3 linked regions of the Rattus norvegicus genome follow. Each later gene encodes a partner of the first gene's protein in a complex. Links are inferred from orthologs where the notes say so. Each region holds a gene or a part of one and is shown in the gene's direction. Other genes may lie near its edges. The genes, in order: Pigh, Pigy and Pigp.

Region 1 (6,358 bases):
TCATTGTATAGTTATGCTGGCATTGAACTTCCCATCCTCCTGCAGCTAATCTCTCTTTGCTTGTTAATTTAAGTTTTTTTGGTTTTGTTTCTGCTTATGCATGTGTGTCTGTATGTATATCCTGCTGAGGCCAGAAGAGGATGTCAGAGCCCTGAAAATGGTGTCACAGGTGGTTGTGAGCTGCCCTGCATGGGTGCTGGGCACTGACTCCAGGCCTGTGGGAGAACGGCGAGCACTCTGACCTGGCGAGCTGTCTCCTTAGCTGCCCACCTCCTCTCACTCTGTAAACCAGGCTGGTCTCAAACTCAGAGATCTACCTGCTCCTGCCGCCTGAGTACTGGGATTATGTCACCATGCCTGGCTACCAGGCTTTTCTCTTTCAAGTAGGAGTACACACCTACTTAAAACACATAGCAGATATGTAAAGCATGACTGTTTTGGAGAAGTAGCAGGTTGTCATGGATACAGTCACCATTTCACCATTTGTCTTGCAGCTCAGACATGTTTGTTTACTTGTTGCTTTCTTCCTCTAGGGCACGAGGACTTACTGTGTTGCCCAGGTCCAACCTAGTCTCAAGCAGCCACCTGCCTTGGTCCTATGAACTTCTGGTTCAAAGGAACGTTTTTTGTTTTTGTTTTTGTTTTTGTTTTTGTTTTTTGGAGGGGGGGTGATCTATTAAAGGACAAAATGGAGGTAAATGCATACATGAAATTATGAAGGAAGAGAGAAAGCTAATTGCTGTTCTAGTTTCGACTCCATCATGTTTTTTCTTGTTTTGTAGTGGATATGTGGCATAAAAGTGTAGTTGATAAAGTATAACCCCTAAGTGAGGCCCCGTGGCTCCAGAGTGGCCATTCTGACTGGATAGTTTTGAGTAACTACCTTAATCTAGCTCTGATGTTTCTATTTGTGAGCACATTACAACACAGTGATGATCTCTTGCTGCCATGGTGGCTTGTCCCTTTCATCCTAGCACTTGGGAGGCAGAGGCAGAGGCAGGTAGAGCTCTCTTAATGAGTCCAGCCTGGTCTACAAAGGGAGTTCCAGGCTAGCCATGACTATTTCATTAGACCCTGTCTCAAGAAAAACAAACAAAAATATTTTTTATATATAAAATAAGAAATGAAAGTTCCTTTTTTTTTCCAGTCAGGGTTTCACTGTGAAGCCCTGGCTATCGTGGAACTCACAGAGATCCCCCTGCCTTTGCCTCCCAAGTGCTAGGATTAAAGGTGTGTGCCACCACCACCATGCCCCCCATTGCAAAAATATACTTTTCTTCTGTTTCAGAAGTTGTCAGATATTTTACTACACAAGAGATACTTTACGAAAAGGACTCTTTAGTCTGCCTCTGAAGAAAAAAGGAACAAGATGAGTTTCACTGAGGTCTCTGTCTGGTTTCTTTTCTTACAGCAGAAGGTCATTTACTACCTCTGCATTTTACTGAAGGATCCAGGGAAACCACATGAGATATCCCAAGTAGTGCCTGTCTTCCAGGTGAGTACCATGCTCTCCCTTTCTCCCGAAAGCCTGCCTTTTCTTTCTGCTTACCCTTAAGTCAGAAAGTGCAGTAGGACACGAACTTCTGTTGTCAGAGTACTGGCAATGTCTGACAACCAATTTGAGTAAAAGGGTTTTTTAGATTTTAGAGAAGACAGTTCCCAATCATATAACCACTTCTACCTACAAATCACATTCTTGTACTTCAGTTCTGTTCACCTATAATTTTACCTTGATATCTTAAGGTTGAGGGTAATAATATAAATAATGTCTTGTCTGTCACAGCCATTATACTTAAAGTATCAGCTTACTTAGCTGTGTTATTGCTAGGTTTTAAATAATGTCTAGATTATCTTGTTTTGATCTTTCAATAAAAACCACTATGGTAAAACATGTAAACTATCAATCTTCTCTGCTCAATGATAGAACCTAGAGATCAGTTATGTATTTGTAATAATTTTGGGTTATTTTGCATAGTAAACATTTATTAAATGGACATTCATACAGTTTTCCTATTCTGTGGGTTGTCTTTTAATTTTAGTTGCATTACATTTTATAATACAAGATCTTTTCAGAATGTACATCTTGTCTCTGATGCTTCTTTCACAACTTGTAACATTTTCTGACATGATCTGTCTCACTGTCATGTGATTGCATGCTTGTAATACCAGCATTCAGGAGGCAGAAGCAGCCTGATCTGCAAAATAAGTTACAGGACAGCCAGGGCTACACAGAGAAACCCTGCCTAGAAACCAAACCAAACCACACCAAAACCTCTTTTTATCTCCCCTTCTCCCCTTCTCCCCTGCACACCCACACCCCCACACAAAGGCCGGATTTAGAGACCTCCCAGCAGGTCCTCATCCGCTCGCCCGCCCTTGTGTCTGAGCGCACAGCTGACATTTGGAGCTGTGGTGTATGAGAGGTGGAGGGTGCAGGTGCATTCTTCTCACACTCCCCTGGCTCTGCATCTCTCCCCTTGGAATCCAGAGCGCCAAGCCCCGGTTGGACTGCTTGATTGAAATCTACAGAAGCTGCCAGGAGATTCTGGCACACCAGAAAGCCACGCCAACAAGCCTATGACTCTCAGCACTCAATCGCCAGTATCTTTATGGAGAGGACTCCTCAACCACAGTAGCTGGTTTACTCTCTGTACTGTCAAAACCATCGGACAGACACGGTCCTGGGAATCAAAACGAGTAGATCTCAGAACCACAGAAGAGGGGCTGGAACTTGATTCATGTTCATGATGTGTGTGTCATAATGTTCCCGGTATAGGTTTTATCTATATTACTGATCAAGGGGAGACCTTAAGGATTTTGACTTGTCAAAAGAAGGCCAGTCATAGTGCCACATGCCTTTAGTCCCAACATTCAAGAGGCAGAAGCAGGTGATCTCTTGAGTTTAAGGCCATTCTGGGTTACATAGTGAGGATTCCCCCACCCCCAAAAATGTATTGTCCAGAAAGAAAATTTTAAGTACCTTCATGTTTGTGTTAAAATCTGTGGAGTATTAAGATGTACCAGATTTCACAAGAAAAATATAATTCCATCTGTATAGACTCTTATTGAAAAGCTAGGGAAAAATAAGTCACGTTTTTATGTATGAATTAGCAGGAATAAAATGCCTTACAAAGGGCTAGCCTCTGTCCACCTAGCTCCTGTGATCTGTGCAGGACAGTGACTCCTTAATCCACAGTTTAGGTAGGAATGGTGTGGATGCCTGTAATCCCAGCTCTCAGAAGGTGTCAACAGGAAGATTGAAAAGTTTGAGGCCAGCCTGGGCTACATGATGAGACTGTCTCAAACCCCAAGGTAATAAACATGTACAACACACAGTCATGGTCTGGTTCACTGACAGCTTTTTATTGACAGACATAATACACAGCATTTCAGCCATGGGTGTCAAGCATATTAGTACCTTTCTGTTACTTAATATTTTCTATTGCTCAAAAGCTGCTTGGCTAAGAGGGCTTAGATGAAAAATGAGAGATTACATGTTGGTTCCCAGACTTGAGACTGTCACATTAAAGGATGAAGAAGCCAGTTTACAGAAGCCTTTGTTTCAAAGGTGGTTCCTTAGATTCTAAAGATCAGGAAGGAGAAAAGGAGCTGGATTAGGCGGCATTTGCCATTAATCTCAGCACTTGGGAGGCAGAGGCAGAGGCAGAGGCAGGTAGATCTCTGAGTTTTAGGCTAGCCTGGTCTACATAGGGAGTTCCAGGACAGCTAAGGCTGCACAGTGAAACCCTGTCTCAAAGAGAGCAAGAGAGAAGGGGGGACTAGGGGGGTGGGGAGGGGAGCAGCAACAGATCTGACCTTCAAGTCTCTGACCTTCAAGTCTAGTACAAATAGTTGCATTAGCTGGAGTTCTGTTTACAAAGCACAAACAACCTAAGAGCAGACTGCATCCTTACTGGCTTCAAGGCCCTTGGATGTAAACCTAGAACTGAATTCTCTGCCTTTCAGCCAGCCTTGAAGGAGCTGTCCAGGAGCCTATAGTGATGTGACTTGAGGTAGACCTGTCTCCACTACAACCCCAAATTCTGGGGTGGGAGTTGGGGTGCAAACAGAAACGGTTATAAAGCTGCCTGGCTTTCGAGCCACGCTCCTTTAAGAGGCAGACTCTTGTGCCCTTTTAAAGTCAGGCTTGTCAGTTCAAAGGATGAAAGACTACAGCAGCTGAGGCATTCGGACAAACTAATTTTTGGCCTTGCAGTTTCTTGTGGTGTACAACACACACATTGTTAGGTTAAAGGCTTATTTCTTGATATTCTTCCTATTCCCTAGTCCATGTTACTGAAAAATGATAAACTGTCTGAAAGCTATACAATAAAGCTTATTTTTTTATATGTTGGAAAACCAAAGTATGAACTTTTTTTTTATTTTGTGGGGAGGTAAAATAAAGATCATCTTCATCAAAATCAGCTAGATTTGAGTTGAGAGGGGTTAGAATATTCTCAGGAAGGCAAAGTTGGAAGAAACTTCTGTTTCCACATGTTACTAGGGCAGATATCATATACATGCCCTGTGCTTCCAAATGATTTCAAGAAGCCATCTACCAAAAGTCTTGGTGAGCAATCCAGGCCTTCCAATAATGGAAGGGTCTTTATTGTTCCTGACACCTTGTTCTGGTGGCCTCTGAGAGCAGCAACAAGCAAAATTCATGTGTGTGGTCTTTAAGAGTGCAGGGAGACGATGACCACCTTGTCCTTCAGGAGTGAGCACAGCCGTCACCGAGCTTTGCAGAGCCTTAAAATGACACAGGAAGGGTGTGGCTCTGTCCCTACCTGTGCTAGTCCAGTGTGAGAGAGAGGGCTTTACTCTTTTTTTTTTTTTCCGGAGCTGGGGACCGAACCCAGGGCCTTGCGCTTCCTAGGCAAGCGCTCTACCACTGAGCTAAATCCCCAGCCCCGAGAGGGCTTTACTCTTAACAGAACACTGTGCTGTCCTGAAAATATTAGAGCTGCTGCCCCAGTGTTTTTCCCATTTGGGAAAGAAATTCAATTTTAGAGATTTGTAGGCTTTTGCCAGAGTTTAGGTGAATTAGGAACTTTAGTCCTATTTTATTCAGGGATGTTCAGAAAACTTCAAGTATAAGTCCCCACGTAAAGACCATGTACAATATAAAAAGATGAGCTTCCCTGAGTATCAGTGCAGAAGCCCCAAATACAGTACCATTGCCCTGGTAACTGCGGGCCATCCCTGTCTTAATCTAGAATCAGGTAGCATCCGGAGTCAGTATTCTTGTTAAAGAAATAGTGGTTTTGATGTTGGGTCTGAATCTTAAAACATTAGGCCTTGAAAGATAAGGCACCTAACGGTCACAAAGGTTTCAAGAGACCCTGAAATATACATTTCACAGAACAGTTTGAGGAGGGGCCATTAGACCCATCACAGTAGTATGCTCCAGGATATAATCTAATCCCAGAGGCACCAGGGGTGGTTTAAGGGTATGGGAAGGAGAAACGTTCACAGCAAAGCTGACCCCTTAGTGCAGGAAACAGAAGCAAAAAACTGTCCATCCAGGTCTCTGGGCTGGCGGGCTGCAGGGAGCTTGGCTGATAGGTTCACAGTTGCAGAACAGTGGTTCATGTAGCTGGCCATCACTAAGGTAGTGTCTGTAATCTAAGGAGATCAGGAAAGTGAAGGATTAAACTAGCTTTATCTTGAATGCTGGTTTTTCACTGGCTCTAACATTGAGTACCTGGGCTTTAGTTGCTGTTGGCCTAGAGAGTCTGAGATGCACTGTACCCTCCTGAGGCCAGGAGGGACAGCAGTTGCTGGATCAGATAGTTCCCACAAGTCCAGCTCAATAGAAAGATGGATATGCTATTCCACCTGAACCCTTGGGGATGCTGTCCAGAGTTTTCTAAGTATCAAGCTTACATCACACCACACCAGGCCAGAGCAAACTGTTACAGTAGTTGTCAGACCCACCTTGGGAGCAGGCATTCGGAAGGTCAACTTGTCAATACGGGTTTTTCCAGAGTTCTGGTCTGGAATGGATCTAATCACAAGCATGAAGTCGTCCCTGCAGCCACCGAACGTTGTCACTGAAGAGTAGGGATAAGTGATGTTCACCTGCTGTGGGAGGAGCCAGTCCAGTTCAGGGGAAACTCTTTCTTTTAGACACAGGGAAGGAGAACCCCAAGGTGATGATAATTTAGAGAGCTAAATCTTGATGTATGTAAGTTGTGCTCAGACTATAAGACAGCACTACTCGGCAAGAGCCGAAGAGAGGAACCATGGCCACGTAGTTCAGACCTCCGACCAGAGTAGAGAGCTTAAGACTAAAAAGGATTGGAACCAGCCCTTTCCTCTCATACCATAGTGCGTTGGTCCAGGATACTAACACCAT
Region 2 (6,326 bases), on another chromosome or scaffold:
CACCCCTTGGCATGGCCCGCCAAAGCCACCCCACCCTAGGCACTTCATCCTACCACAGTTGTTTTTGAGTCATTTCTACACCTGTACGTAGCCCGTCACTCGTATTTCTGTAAGTAACCCCAGCCACACTCACTGGTTCACTACACTGGTGCAGTCTATACTTTGGTTTGCAGTGGGACCACTCTCTGGAGTGAGCAAATGTGTGTGTGTGTGTGTGTGTGTGTGTGTGTGTGTGTGGTGTGTGCACAGGAAAAGCCTGTCGCACAAGCACCAAGGTCTCTGATCCTTAGTGCAGCAGCGTCTGTCGATTTAAATCTGTTTATTTAAATAGGTTTCTCCCCATGCAGAGGGCAGCTTGGAGGAGTCAGGCTGAGGCACTCTAGCCATCTTGGCAAACATGGTCTGGTAGGCCTTGCCCTTCTCTCTCATTCCCTCTGCTAAAAACCACTATGTTGTATTCCTCACGCTAGCTCTCAAGGTCTGTTCCCTTATCTGACCACATCCTCTTCAAGGTCCGGCTGTCAGAGTATTGGAGTCCAGCAAACTAAGGCTCCCTTTGGCTGCCCTATGGAACATTCCAATTGAAATTAAATACCTAGTCCTAACATGGGGTTTACCCTTTACAATTTCAAACCGCCACTTTCCTATGTGCCACGTCGATCTCCTCTCTATCCAGGCCTTTGTTGTGTTGTCACCATCCTCTCTGTTGTGCGCCCCCGCCCCCGCCCCAATCCTTTAAATCCAGTCTTTGATTCATTCCCTGCCCTTTGTCCTTTGGGGCAAATCTCTGTGCTCAGAACTCGGTTTTGGGTGTCTTGTGCCAATACTGGTCCCTCCACAGGCTTGTGCAGTGAGTGTCTTTACCACTTGAACCATCTTGATACTTTTTGTTTCGATTTTTAAAAATTTAATTTAAAAAAATGTTCATATCTGCTCTGTGTAAACCATAGGATGGCTTTGTCCTCAGCTCTTTTCTGCCACCTTGTGGTTGCACTAAAAACTGCATGGAATCGATACCACTACTTACCTGTGCGAAGAAAAACTTTCTGATCTTTTAGTTTGCTGGAAGATTAAGGGATGGCGGTCCCTGTGTGGTACTGCATAGAATCCTAGCTCAGTCTCATTTTTCTTTACTCTGGGATCAGAGACAACACTGTCTTACTAGGCAAAGCGGTGGCTGTGCACAGCATTTACTACCCGTCCCCCAACACACACACACACACACACACACACCGTCTTACTATGTAGTTGCGATGACCTGGGTGTATGTAGACCAGGGTGACCTCAAACTCACAGAAATCTTCCAGCTTTTGCCTACTGAGTGCTGGGATTAGGAGTTTAGGCTCCCATGCCTGGCTACATTCTCTCTCTCTCTCTCTCTCTCTCTCTCTCTCTCTCTCTCTCTCTCTCTCTCTCTCTCTCTCTCTCTCTCTCTCTCTCCCTCTCTCCCTCTCTCTCTCTCTCTCTCTCTCTCTCTCTCTCTCTCTCTCTCTCTCTCTCTCTCTCTCTCTCTCTCTCTCTCTCTCTCTCTCTCTCTCTCTCTCTCTCTCTCTCTCTCTCTCTCTCTCTCTCTCTTTTGGTTCTTTTGTTTCGGAGCTGGGGACCGAACCCAGGGCCTTGCGCTTCCTAGGCAAGCGCTCTACCACGGAGCTAAATCCCCAACCCCAACATTCTCTCTTAAAATTGCATTTTACACTTTTTGCAGGAGTACACGCGGGTGTGCTGCAGTACATGCGTGGAGGTCAGAGGACAATGCGAGAAGAAAATAGGTTCTCCACCGTGGGGGTGGGGGTCCCCGAGGATCGAACTCAGTTACTAAGGCTTGGCAGGAAACGCCCGTACTCGCTGAGCCCTCTCATCGGCCCAAACTACTATTTTGACATTCACCAATTCAAACGTAAAACGACGGATCGGACTCGTTCCCCGCTGCTTCAGAGGCTGGGTGATGGTGGCTGCGACCAAGTTTGATTCAGGCTTCAAGTTTATCAGTTAGAAATGGGGAAAGCTTTTCAGCGCAGAAAGACACCGGTCTGCTCTGGAACGCCGTGAACACACTCTGCGGCAAATACGTTCCTCTCCAAGGTCCAGCAGTCCTGGCACACAGGACGCCCAGCCGGAGGCCGTGGGGTCCGGGGCAGGGAGGTCCTTATCAATCAGGGTCCTCTCAGCACCCCTCTGGCTTCACCCGTCACTCAAGACTACGGGGGCGGAGCCTGAGCGCCGGAGCGAAGGCGTGGTGCGCTGTCCAATGAGCACGCGCGGATCGGCTCCCTCGCGGGATCTGGGTTTCTTACCCCGCCCCCTCAGGGATTTGATTGGGCGGCTGGCCCGGGTGCTCCGCCTTCGTAGAGCGGTGACGGTCACAGCCAGGCGCAGCCGGGACCCGGACATTTACAGGCCAGTGAATGGTGAGTTCAGGGTCTCGAGATCCGATACGGGCGGAGGAGCTGTTGGAACCGGCTGGGACAGGACTCGCGCTAGCAAGGCGTCTGCGCCACGGACGCCTCCGGTTCCGCTTGGCTGGCTGGTTCACTTTCGATTCGGCCGGGTTCTCCTCTGCCCTGTTCGGCTTGGTCCGGTTCTCTCCGGCTTGGCTCGGTTCTCTCCGGCTTGGCTCGGTTCTCTCCGACCCGGCCATCGCTACCCTCGGTCAGCCAGAGACTGCAGCGGGACCCGGGTGCCCCTTCGCGTCCCCGAGGCGACTGGGCCCAGGGCTGGCGCTGTCTTCACTCTGTGCATTGACGACGGGCGGCTCGTGACGAGGCTCCGGGTTCCGGTGCTGGTCCCCAGCCGGTCCTCGTCGTACGGGAAGCCTCCACTCAGGTGTCTGAAGTGAATCTGGATTTGTAGGTCTCATTCCGCTTCCTCGGTTCGAGAAAACACTATCAGTCCACCTGTCCTTCATTCTGCTTTTCGAATTTCTTAGTTCCCAAAGAAATGGATGACACTTGAGTGTTTTGAAGGTTTGTTTTCTAGTCGGGCGTGGTGGCTTGGGAAGACTGATGCAAGAGGATCCCAATGTTTGAGGCCAGACTGCAAGTGACAGCAATCCTCCTGCCTTTAACCTGCTCAGTACTGTACAGGCTGTTTCCCCTTCTTTTCCTTTCCCTTCCCCTCATCTTGTCATCTTGCACTTTTCTCATACAGTAAGGAATCCTTTAGCCAGCGCTGCGAGGGACACGTGTGTTGTCTGCAGTCGCTGGTAACCGCTTCGTGTGGTGGTGGATTGGATCAGAACGAGGCTGAGGAGCCGTCACCCTCAGCCTGGGACCGCTGAAGTTTTTGTGTGCTCTTGGGAAGCATGCCTGGATGAAAGAGGAGTCCAGAGAAAGGGAAGATAAGACAGGAGTGCACCAGCACAAGAACATAACTTTGAAAACAACCGAGTTTTCTTGAACTGTATACCTTCAGAAGGGAGGAGGATGATCCTGTCTCTGCCCACCCTGACTGTCCTCATCCCGCTCATCTCCCTGGCGGGCCTGTTCTACTCCGCCTCTGTGGAAGAAAACTTCCCAGAGGGCTGTACCAGCGCCAGCAGCCTGTGCTTCTACAGTTTGCTTCTGCCGGTCACCGTACCGGTGTACGTGTTCTTCCACCTGTGGACTTGGATGGGCCTGAAGCTCTTCAGACATAACTAGGGTAGCTGAGGCCCCGCTTGTGCACGGGGCAAGAGGCTCCTGGTTGTTGGGTTCTGCCCTCAGGTGTTGCAGATTCTCCTGTTAGTGCTGTAGCTGAAAAACACTTACAATAAATATGTCCCAAGGGAGAGGAACATGACCGGTCTTCATCCGAAGACTGTTTTTTCTAAGATTTATTCTTAATTATGTGGATATGAGTGTGGGTCCCCAAAGAGGCCACACGAGGGTTGGAGGTACGAGCAACTGTAAGACTGCCGGAGCTTTACTCAGATCCTCTGCAAGGGCAAGCAAGTTCATGTCCTTAACCCCTGAGCATCTCTCCACCTGCCTGTTTCCTCCCTTCCCTTAGTTCTGGCTAACCTCAAACTGTGAGAGGCAGACCTTGACCTCCTTACCTTCCTGTCTCTACCTCCTGAGTGCTGAAGTTATAGGCAAGCATTGCCGCATGTGTTTATGTGGTCTGGCAGAACCCAGGTCGTGAACGCTAAGTCGGCACTCTGCCAGCCAACCACCCTGAGGACTGTGTTGTTGTTGTTGTTGTTTTGAGTCCATTCATTTAAAAGTCCGTCATTTGGAAGCCGAGCAGTGGTGGCACTCACCTTTACTCCCAGCACTCGGGAGACAGAGGTGGATCTCTTGAGTTTGGGCCAGCACAACGAGACTGTAAAAATAATAATTTGGGATTTTGTTTCAGCTTCAAGGTCAGTGGTGAGGTGTTGGATCTGCTGAGACAAGGGTTTCAGATGGTTGGGAACTACTGTGTGGGTGCTGAAGAAAATCCAGTGCTCAGGGATGACTCCTTTGAGGAGCTGAGTGGTCCGTAGGTTGGTGGCTCACAACTGCCTGTATTTCCAGTTCCAGAGGCTCTGACTCCCTCTGCTGGACTCTGGGTACCTGCACACCTGTGACATGTCTATTCATTCACACACATTAATAAATTTATTTTTAAGAGGGAAAAAAATCTGACTATAAACTTACCTTCATTGTTTTTTCTTTTACATTTATTTTTTTTCTTTTCTTTTTTTTCAGAGCTGGGGACCGAACCCAGGGCCTTGCACTTGCTAGGCAAGCGCTCTACCACTGAGCTAAATCCCCAACCCCTCTTTTACATTTATTTATATGAGTACACTCTAGCTGTCTTCAGACACACCAGAAGAGGGCATTGGGTCCCATTACAGATGGTTGTGAGCCACCATGTGGTTGCTGGGAATTGAACTCAGGACCTCTGGAAGAGCAGCCAGTGCTCTTAACCACTGAGCCATCTCTCCAGCCCCTACCATCATTTTTTCAGTGTCAGGTGAGCAAGGTCAGTGTTGGTGTTTTCTGGTTCTTGGATTCTTATTCAAGGAATAAAGGCCCATATACAGATTTTCAAAGTTGCAAGGAAATTTCACTCAAAGCAGAGCTAGATCAGGCATGCAGATACATGAGCCTATGGGGGCTCTTCTTACTCAACCACGACACCTGTTCTCCCAGCCTAAATTCCTCTGACTCCTTATGACTCCCTGTACCTCTAAGTTCAGAGGCTCTGCCTCCAAAAGCACTGTACTCAGGTTTTTAACACACACCCCTAAAAATAAACACAAAGTTTTCAAAAAAGAGAACATGTTTTCTTTGGCTGAAAGCCGTCCATCCTTGCTTGAAGGTAAGCCAGAGATGGGTGTGACCATTGCCAGTTCTTGATGCCTGCATTGGACAGAGTCTGGAAATCCTTGAGTACATTGGGCCCTGTGGCCCAGAGGCTGTGACATTCTTCCTCTGGGGAAGTCCCAGACACCCTGGAAACAGGGTTAAAGAAGTCAGGGGGCTGGAGTGATGGCTCAGAGATTAAGAGTGTCCTACTTTTTTTTTTTTTTTTGGTTCTTTTTTTCGGAGCTGGGGACTGAACCTAGGGCCTTGCGCTTCCTAGGTAAGCGCTCTACCACTGAGCTAAATCCCCAGCCCCAAGAGTGTCCTACTTTTAGGAAGTGATTTTTTTTAGATCATGAGTGGTTTACTTGCTTGTATAAATGAGCCCTCTGCTTGAGATGCACACAGAGGTTAGAAGCCGGTATTGGATCCTCTGGAACTTGAGTTAAGGAGTTATGTGAGCCACCGTGTGGGTGCTGGGAACTGAACCTGGGCCCTTGTCAAGAACAGCAAGAGCTCTTCCAAGTCATCGCTCTAGCTCCTGGGTTATTTTCTGTTGCTGTGGTAAAACAACCACAAGCAACTTAGGGGAGGAAAGGTTTGTCTGACTTCCACTTTTAAGTTGTAGTTCATCAATGAGGGGGAAGTCAGGGCAGGAGCTCAAAGTGGGGACCTGGAGGCAGGAATTGAAGCAGAGACCATCGGATGGCTTGCTCCCCAGCTCACATTCAGCTACTGTTCAGACTGCCTGGGTAGGGGTGGCACCACCCACAGTGGGCTGGGCCCTCCTGTATCAGAAATAAAGAAATCGTGTCATAGACATATCCACAGGCCAATCGATTAAGCAATTAAGCAGTTCCTTGAGGTTCCCTCTTTCTGGGTGACAGTGTGGTTTCCAGTGCCTGTGTATGGTGGCTCACTATTGCCTGTAACTCAATGCCCTCTCTGATATCCTTGGACAACTGCACTTGTACACATACCCAGGTACTGTTACAGACAAACATAAAAAAATCTATTATTGTTGGCTTAGGGGAACCAGAAGTTCCGGCTGGGAAAAGG
Region 3 (6,548 bases), on another chromosome or scaffold:
AGTAGGGGAAAGATCTCTTTTCCCATCGTTGTTCAGCACCAGAAGCATTTGGGAAAGCACAAACCCTCTCTTCAGGAGTGACTGTATCCCAGTCTTGACCTACAAAGCTGTAACACTTCATTCTTAACGGAAAAAAAACCATCACCGTTGATGTAGCTTGAAACCTGTCTTCACTTCCCTTGTACAAATGAGTCCTTTCTCATGTATAAAACAGACGTGTGTGCTTCAGGACTGTTTTGAAGATTAAACGAGTTAGTGCATGTAGAGACATTCAGGACCTATTGTTACTGCACGGAGACAGCAGGAAAGGAGCCCACAATGACAGGGTGTTGACAGAAAGAAGATTGTGTATAGACAGTCAAAACCAGAGAGGACAAGTTCCCCTTTAAGCCACTAAATGCAATTATATCTTCTCTGTGGAGAAATAGTGAACATGTAGAATGCAGAAGCAAACTGTTAGGTGCTGTGAAAAGAAGTTGCTAAGAAATAATATGTCACAGACTTTTTTATTAGTCATTTTATTCATTTACCTTTAAAATGATATCTCCCTGATTACCCCTCCACAATCCCCCCATTCCATTCCCCCTGTACCCCTCCCCTTTACCGCTATGAGGGTGCTTACCCACTCCTGCCTCACCACTCTAGCATCCCCCTTCGCTGGGGCATCAAGTCTCCACAGGACTAAGGGCCTCTCTTCCCATTGGTGCCTAACAAGGCCATCCTCTGCTACATATGCAGCTGGAGCCATGGGTCCCTCCATGTGTACTCTTTGAATGGTGGTTTAGTCCCTGGGACCTCTGGGTGGTATCCATAGGCTTTTTAAAGTGCAGTGTGAAAACCAAGACACTAAAAACTTTTAATAGAGTAATTATGGTAGGTATTACAAGAAAGGTACAAATAAGGCAGCCACTAGAGATCCTGGATTCTGAGAGTGCGAAGCTTTGGGGAGTGTTCTTGTCGTTTATGAACCTTACAGACTGGACCGTGCCGCTCTGACATGTCTTCTCTCTTCCCTTGCCCTCTCTACCCTGCAGTACTCTATCTTGTGTGGGCTTTCGTTCCCGAATCTTGGCTAAACTCCTTAGGCTTAACTTACTGGCCTCAAAAGTAAGTTGAATATTTGTTCAGTGGGGGTAAAACTGGTAACTGTTTTGAGGGGCAATACTCTTCTTTAAAACCCAAGCCTCAGATCATTACTCCTTTAAAATCCATGAGTATCTGTGTTGAAGTTGAACATTACTCTTATTTTTGTGCTGGGGAGTGGGAGGGTAATAGGGGTGTTCACATGTGTGTGGCCACATTATGTGCAGGTAAACATATTTGCATGTGCATGTAGTGCCTCAATGTTGATGTCAGGAGTCTTTCTTGATACTCTCCACCTTATGTGTGGAGGCAAGGTCTCAAAATTGAACCCAGAGTTCTATCTACAGCTAGTTCTAGACTAGCCAGCTTGCTCCAGAATTCCCTGTGCTAGACTTACAGCTGGTCTGCCACAAAAGCCCAGCTCATACCTGGGTCTGAGAATCCAGACTCAGGTCCTCACACTTGGGTGGCAAGGACTTTAACTGGTGAGCCATACCCCAACAGCAATTGACAGGTCTAAAGGTTATTAATATATCACTAACTGAAGGTGGTGGGGTAAACGTTTATCTCTGTTTCCTCCTAAAGTCATACTAAAATTATACCATTATTGAAAAATCTTTTAAAGGTATAAGCACACACATAGGAAAGCAGATAAGATATTAACAAAATTTTAGCACTTTGAGATAGAAGATTCTGGTATTTACATGTGGTAGATGGGGGAACCCAGCAAGAACATTTATGTCCTGGAATTCCAAAAATGACCCAGACCTCGGAAGCAGCAGCATCTCTTGGTAATGATAATTTTGCATTGGACAGGAAGTGTCTTTAAAATGCATTAGACCTGCTGACTCTCCTTCCATATTTTAAACCTGGAGATTGACCTTGCCTTCCCCTTAGAAGATAGTTCCATCCTGTGGAAAGTGTTGGGCAGAGTCTGTAGTCTGGAAGTTACAAGGGCTAACTGTAAAAACTGATAATAAACCATTATCTGCATAGCTGAGTAAGGCTCCCTCCCCTAGCTTCTTCCCTTCCCAGGCTTCACCCCTTCCCAGAGAAAGGTGGGAAATGCCTTTCTGAGGATGCTGACCAGGGTAAAAGGCAGCATCTACAATCCACCTTTCTGCCGTCTCTGCCCTTGTACATACCTTGCTTCCTGTCAACTTATCCCTTGGATCTTAAATATAAATACGCCATCATAAAGACCAGGCACTAAAAGAAAAGTCTGTCCCTAAATACAAAAGAGAAGAAGATACTAAAAGGAGTGGAGATAAATCTATCTGCAGAAGGGAAAAGTTCAATCTGAGATGAGAAAAGAATCCTGAATGGTATGCTGTCCAACCACTGAAAAGTTATAAGCACGGTTATTAAAATCTCATCTAGAAAGTTGATGGCTGAAACAGTGAAACAGAAAGCAGAGATGGAAAACAGAGGAATGTATAATGGTGCAAAAAACTATTAGAAGGCCTAGCAGGGAAAAAGGGTTGGGAGGAAGTGATTTAACAAAACCTGGCAAGATAGAACACTTAGTGAGCTTCACTGCATTGAGAGGGAAGCTGAGAGGCATATACGAATTTGATTCTGGAGCATTGATAGATTCTGGGAGAAGCAGTAGACAGAAACGTATAGTCTCAGACAAAACATAAGAAAACATAATATGGGGTTGGGGATTTAGCTCAGTGGTAGAGCACTTGCCTAGCAAGCGCAAGGCCCTGGGTTCAGTCCCCAGCTCCAAAAAAAAGAATTAAAAAAAAAAAAAAAGAAAGAAAGAAAACATAATACACTAAGGTTCCCAGTTGCAAATATTGCTGACATGATCAGTTGTTTTTAACTGCTGACATAATAAAAGGTCAGCATATGCAGAAAGTATGAGGAAGAAGTAAATACCTCACTTTCATATTAGGACATCTGGAGAAAATGTCTGAGGCCGATGAAAATCTTGATGTAGGCATGTTATATGGATGTGGGGATATAAATGCCAGAAGAAACAGCTCAGATATTGAAAGAACTCGTGTGGACAGAATAAAACTCTACGGCTGGGATAGCATGGCTGAGACACCTGTCTGCAGCTGTCCATTGACCCCCTTGTACGGGCTATCCATTACATGCGTCAGCTACTTTAATAATAATACAGATTATTAGCGTGTGTTTTGGGAATTAGGACTCCTTGACAAGTTTGTTAGCATGTATGAATTCTCTTGTGCAGGTACTGGGCAGTTGCGTTGCCTGTCTATCTCTTGATCACGGTTGTAATTGGTTACGTGCTCTTATTTGGAATCAACATGATGAGTACCTCTCCACTTGACTCCATCCATACGATCACAGGTAAGTTTACATGAAATAAAATTGTGAGGCATAGGGAGTGGGCCTCAGAAACACATTGTGAGAAAACATCTGCTACGTTAAACATGGCACGATGATTAATCTCGATCAGCAGCTCATAGGGATTTAGAGTCACCATGGAAACAAATACCGAGCACTCTAGGAGGCTTATCTAGATTTGGTTTATCGAGGTGGGAAGATACCTTAAATGTGGAGTGTACCATTCCATGGGTCGAGGTCTGAATGAAAAGGAAAAAATAAACTGAATATGAACATTTATCCCTGTCCGACTCCTAATGTACACATGGTGAGCACATGTGATCTGCCACCTCCTGCTCCTACTGACATCCCTCCCCTCCGAGGTGAACTGTCTCCATGTAACTAAGCCTTAGTTCGTTAGGGACGTCCTTACAGCATGAGAGATAGAGCTAATGATACCTCGTGGCTTGCCGTCCTCTGTACGTCAGCCTGCTGAGCAGTGTCATAGGTCTCAACGAACCACAGAAATTACAGAGACAATTGCTTGGGTCAGTGGAGCTTCTTTTCCTTTCTTGCAGATAACTATGCTAAAAACCAACAGAGGAAAAGCTACCAAGAGGACGCCATCCCAGCATTAAGAGACATTCCCATTAGTGAAGTCAACAGAATGTTCTTCCTAGACGCCAAAGAACTCAACACCTAAAACTGAGCTGTGAATAAACATCCTAAAACCAACCATTTGCAGTTGTGGGCTGAATGATTTTGAGCATAGTGATATCGACTGTCCTTTTAATAACCAATATAGACATGTAAAAACATGAAAATTGATTCCTTAGATTGAGTTCAATTGATATTGTAAATATTTTCAATTGAGTTTTTAGTTGACAATAAATAAAATAACATTATACTATAATCAACCTTGAATAGATCTATATGTGCACACATGCGTGTGTTCATGTGTGTGTGAATGCAGACATGCACAGTGTATATAGAAGTCAGAGGACAACTTACGTTGTCTCTCTTTAGGCACCCTTTGTTTGAAACAAGGTTTCTCATTGGCCTCCCTTCACCACTTACCCCAGGCTAGTTGACCACAAACTTCCAGGACTCTACCTGTCTGCCTCTTACCCCATCATTACTTTTATATGGGAGCTAGAGATCTGAATTCAGGTCCTCAGGCCTCTATAGAATATACTTGACCCACTAAGCCACCTCCCCAGCCTAACATAAAGCAGCCAAGAACAAATGTCTCCCAAGCCTTCTCACATGCAGCCAGAGTTGAAAATGATCATCTTGTCTGCTTATCCTTAGCTCAGCTGGTGGATCAGCAAGACTGTGCCTACTGCCTACAAAAGAGCAGGAACTAGTCAGAGCTGCCACTCAATACCCAGTGTTCCCTTGTCCTTTCAAGGACAGTGATAGGCCTGCAAGGTTTGGAGTAAAATCTAGGGCTCCCCTGCACATTAGTCTCAAAACCAGTTTTTCAATCTGTCTCTCAAAGGCATTGTCCTTATACCTAAGGGATTGTCCACGACCAGGGGTTTTCATGTTATGGGCTATATTTCTTTTAAGGGTTACAATAAACTTAGTGAACCTTCTCTTCTTCACCTTAAATATTCTCAGGACCTTCAAATATTTCGTACAAAGGGGGAGCTTCTAAAAAGCTTGTGTGATTTACATATTATTTTTATGAATAATGGTCATGAGGCAGTGAGATAGTTTGGTGGGTGAGGATAATTGCCAGCAAACCTACCAACCCGAGTCTGATCCCCAAGAGAGAACTCCCTCAAGTTGTCTTCTGACTTTTACACACGTGCAGTGGCCTGGGTACTCATGCACACACCAATAATAAGCCAAACTCTTCTTGGTTGTAAAGTTAATTTTGCCAATCATCACCTTTTTACCACGTGTCTGACCTCTTGCATACCCACACACTCATATGCGCATATTATATGTATATATATATGTATATAATGTGTATATATGCACAAACGCATGCAGCACATACATATATGGGCACAAACACACAAAAATTGTGTTAAACAATTTAACCCAAAACATTGACATAATAGGCCTATTCAAAGGCAATGAAATTTAAGACAAATTACTCTTATGAAAAATACCATATTTTCAAGCACAAAATTTGTGGCTCAAATAGAATCGTCTTCAAATTTTGCAAATCTCTTTAATGCCTGGATTATAGAAGAAACTGGATCTTGTGCCTGCCCCTTCAGTTAGTCTGTACATTAACACACCTTGAGAAGCTTCTGGAAAACATTACACACTCAGAGATTGAGCATGAATTAGTAATATCTTACTATTATTTTGAGAATAAGTCTGGTGTCCTAGACCCCCTGTGATATACTCTCTAGAGCACAGATCTCGAGAACCTCTGATGTTGGGAGAAGGGATGGGACTGGAGTAGAACACAATCTATCGGCATGCAGTGTGTCTGTTAGACCATATATTCTAGTGCAGCACCCCTCCTGGCCCCTTCACACTGTTTCACCCTCATACCCCAGGTACCAATGCCCCAAACAGCTCTGTGCAAGCCTTAAAACAGATCCATACAGGAGCCACTTGTTGCTCACCCTAGAAGGAATGGGTTAGCCTCTACAGATTTACCTAGAGCCCCAAATAGGTAGATAGGGGTAGATAAACACCCTCTCCCCCTAATCCCCTAGGACACAATTCTGTTGTGTTCCAGCAACTTCTCTGAAAGTCTGTGGGACTGAGTCACCGTTGCCATGGGGAACTGAGCCACTGTTGCCATGGCACCAGTGCTCACCAGGCCTGTGCTGGCTTCTCTTCCTGCTGCTTCTCTCCCTTTGCTACCCACTCCAATTTCCAATAGCCGCCTACACACTCTGTCAGAAGCCGGACCTTCAGCTTTGATGCTTTGTTTGTGAAGATTGTGCGTCAACTGCGGCTGAGATGTAGGATGTATATCCCTGCTGCGTGGCAGAATTCAAGAAAAGTATTTGAAAGCCAGACATGGTAGGTAGAGGCAGAAAGATCCCAAGGTCAAGGTCATGTTAAGCTACATAGTTTGAGATCAGCCTGGGTTTAATAAGAGTGAGAGGGACAGGTTTAAAAAAAAAAAAAACCTCAGCATTTTGCAGTCTGCTTAAATAACATAAACTACTCCAAACAAAAAAATGTCAATT

Evidence for each region.
Region 2: Pigh (region 1) and Pigy share a complex: the UniProt entries of both Homo sapiens proteins name them as parts of the glycosylphosphatidylinositol-N-acetylglucosaminyltransferase (GPI-GnT) complex. The link is inferred for Rattus norvegicus from reciprocal best matches to the Homo sapiens genes PIGH and PIGY.
Region 3: Pigh (region 1) and Pigp share a complex: the UniProt entries of both Homo sapiens proteins name them as parts of the glycosylphosphatidylinositol-N-acetylglucosaminyltransferase (GPI-GnT) complex. The link is inferred for Rattus norvegicus from reciprocal best matches to the Homo sapiens genes PIGH and PIGP.

What each region holds. Positions count from the first base shown.
Region 1 is NC_086024.1:103,618,714-103,625,071, reverse strand, and holds the end of Pigh (phosphatidylinositol N-acetylglucosaminyltransferase subunit H), read left to right. Parts: intron 1-1,411; coding exon 1,412-1,495; intron 1,496-2,329; coding exon of another isoform or gene 2,330-2,386; exon of another isoform or gene 2,387-2,488; coding exon 2,489-2,581; 3' UTR 2,582-4,364; downstream 4,365-6,358. Other genes in the region: Plekhh1 (pleckstrin homology domain-containing family H member 1), read right to left, coding at 5,470-5,625, 5,938-6,084, 6,327-6,358. UniProt on the Homo sapiens protein: Part of the glycosylphosphatidylinositol-N-acetylglucosaminyltransferase (GPI-GnT) complex that catalyzes the transfer of N-acetylglucosamine from UDP-N-acetylglucosamine to phosphatidylinositol and participates in the first step of GPI biosynthesis.
Region 2 is NC_086026.1:28,963,278-28,969,603, forward strand, and holds Pigy (phosphatidylinositol N-acetylglucosaminyltransferase subunit Y), read left to right. Parts: upstream 1-3,147; 5' UTR 3,148-3,422; coding exon 3,423-3,638; 3' UTR 3,639-4,599; downstream 4,600-6,326. Other genes in the region: uncharacterized protein Pigyl1, read left to right, coding at 1,753-1,962, 2,198-2,836. UniProt on the Homo sapiens protein: Part of the glycosylphosphatidylinositol-N-acetylglucosaminyltransferase (GPI-GnT) complex that catalyzes the transfer of N-acetylglucosamine from UDP-N-acetylglucosamine to phosphatidylinositol and participates in the first step of GPI biosynthesis.
Region 3 is NC_086029.1:47,150,169-47,156,716, reverse strand, and holds the end of Pigp (phosphatidylinositol N-acetylglucosaminyltransferase subunit P), read left to right. Parts: intron 1-1,034; coding exon 1,035-1,107; intron 1,108-3,286; coding exon 3,287-3,405; intron 3,406-3,959; coding exon 3,960-4,084; 3' UTR 4,085-4,116; downstream 4,117-6,548. UniProt on the Homo sapiens protein: Part of the glycosylphosphatidylinositol-N-acetylglucosaminyltransferase (GPI-GnT) complex that catalyzes the transfer of N-acetylglucosamine from UDP-N-acetylglucosamine to phosphatidylinositol and participates in the first step of GPI biosynthesis.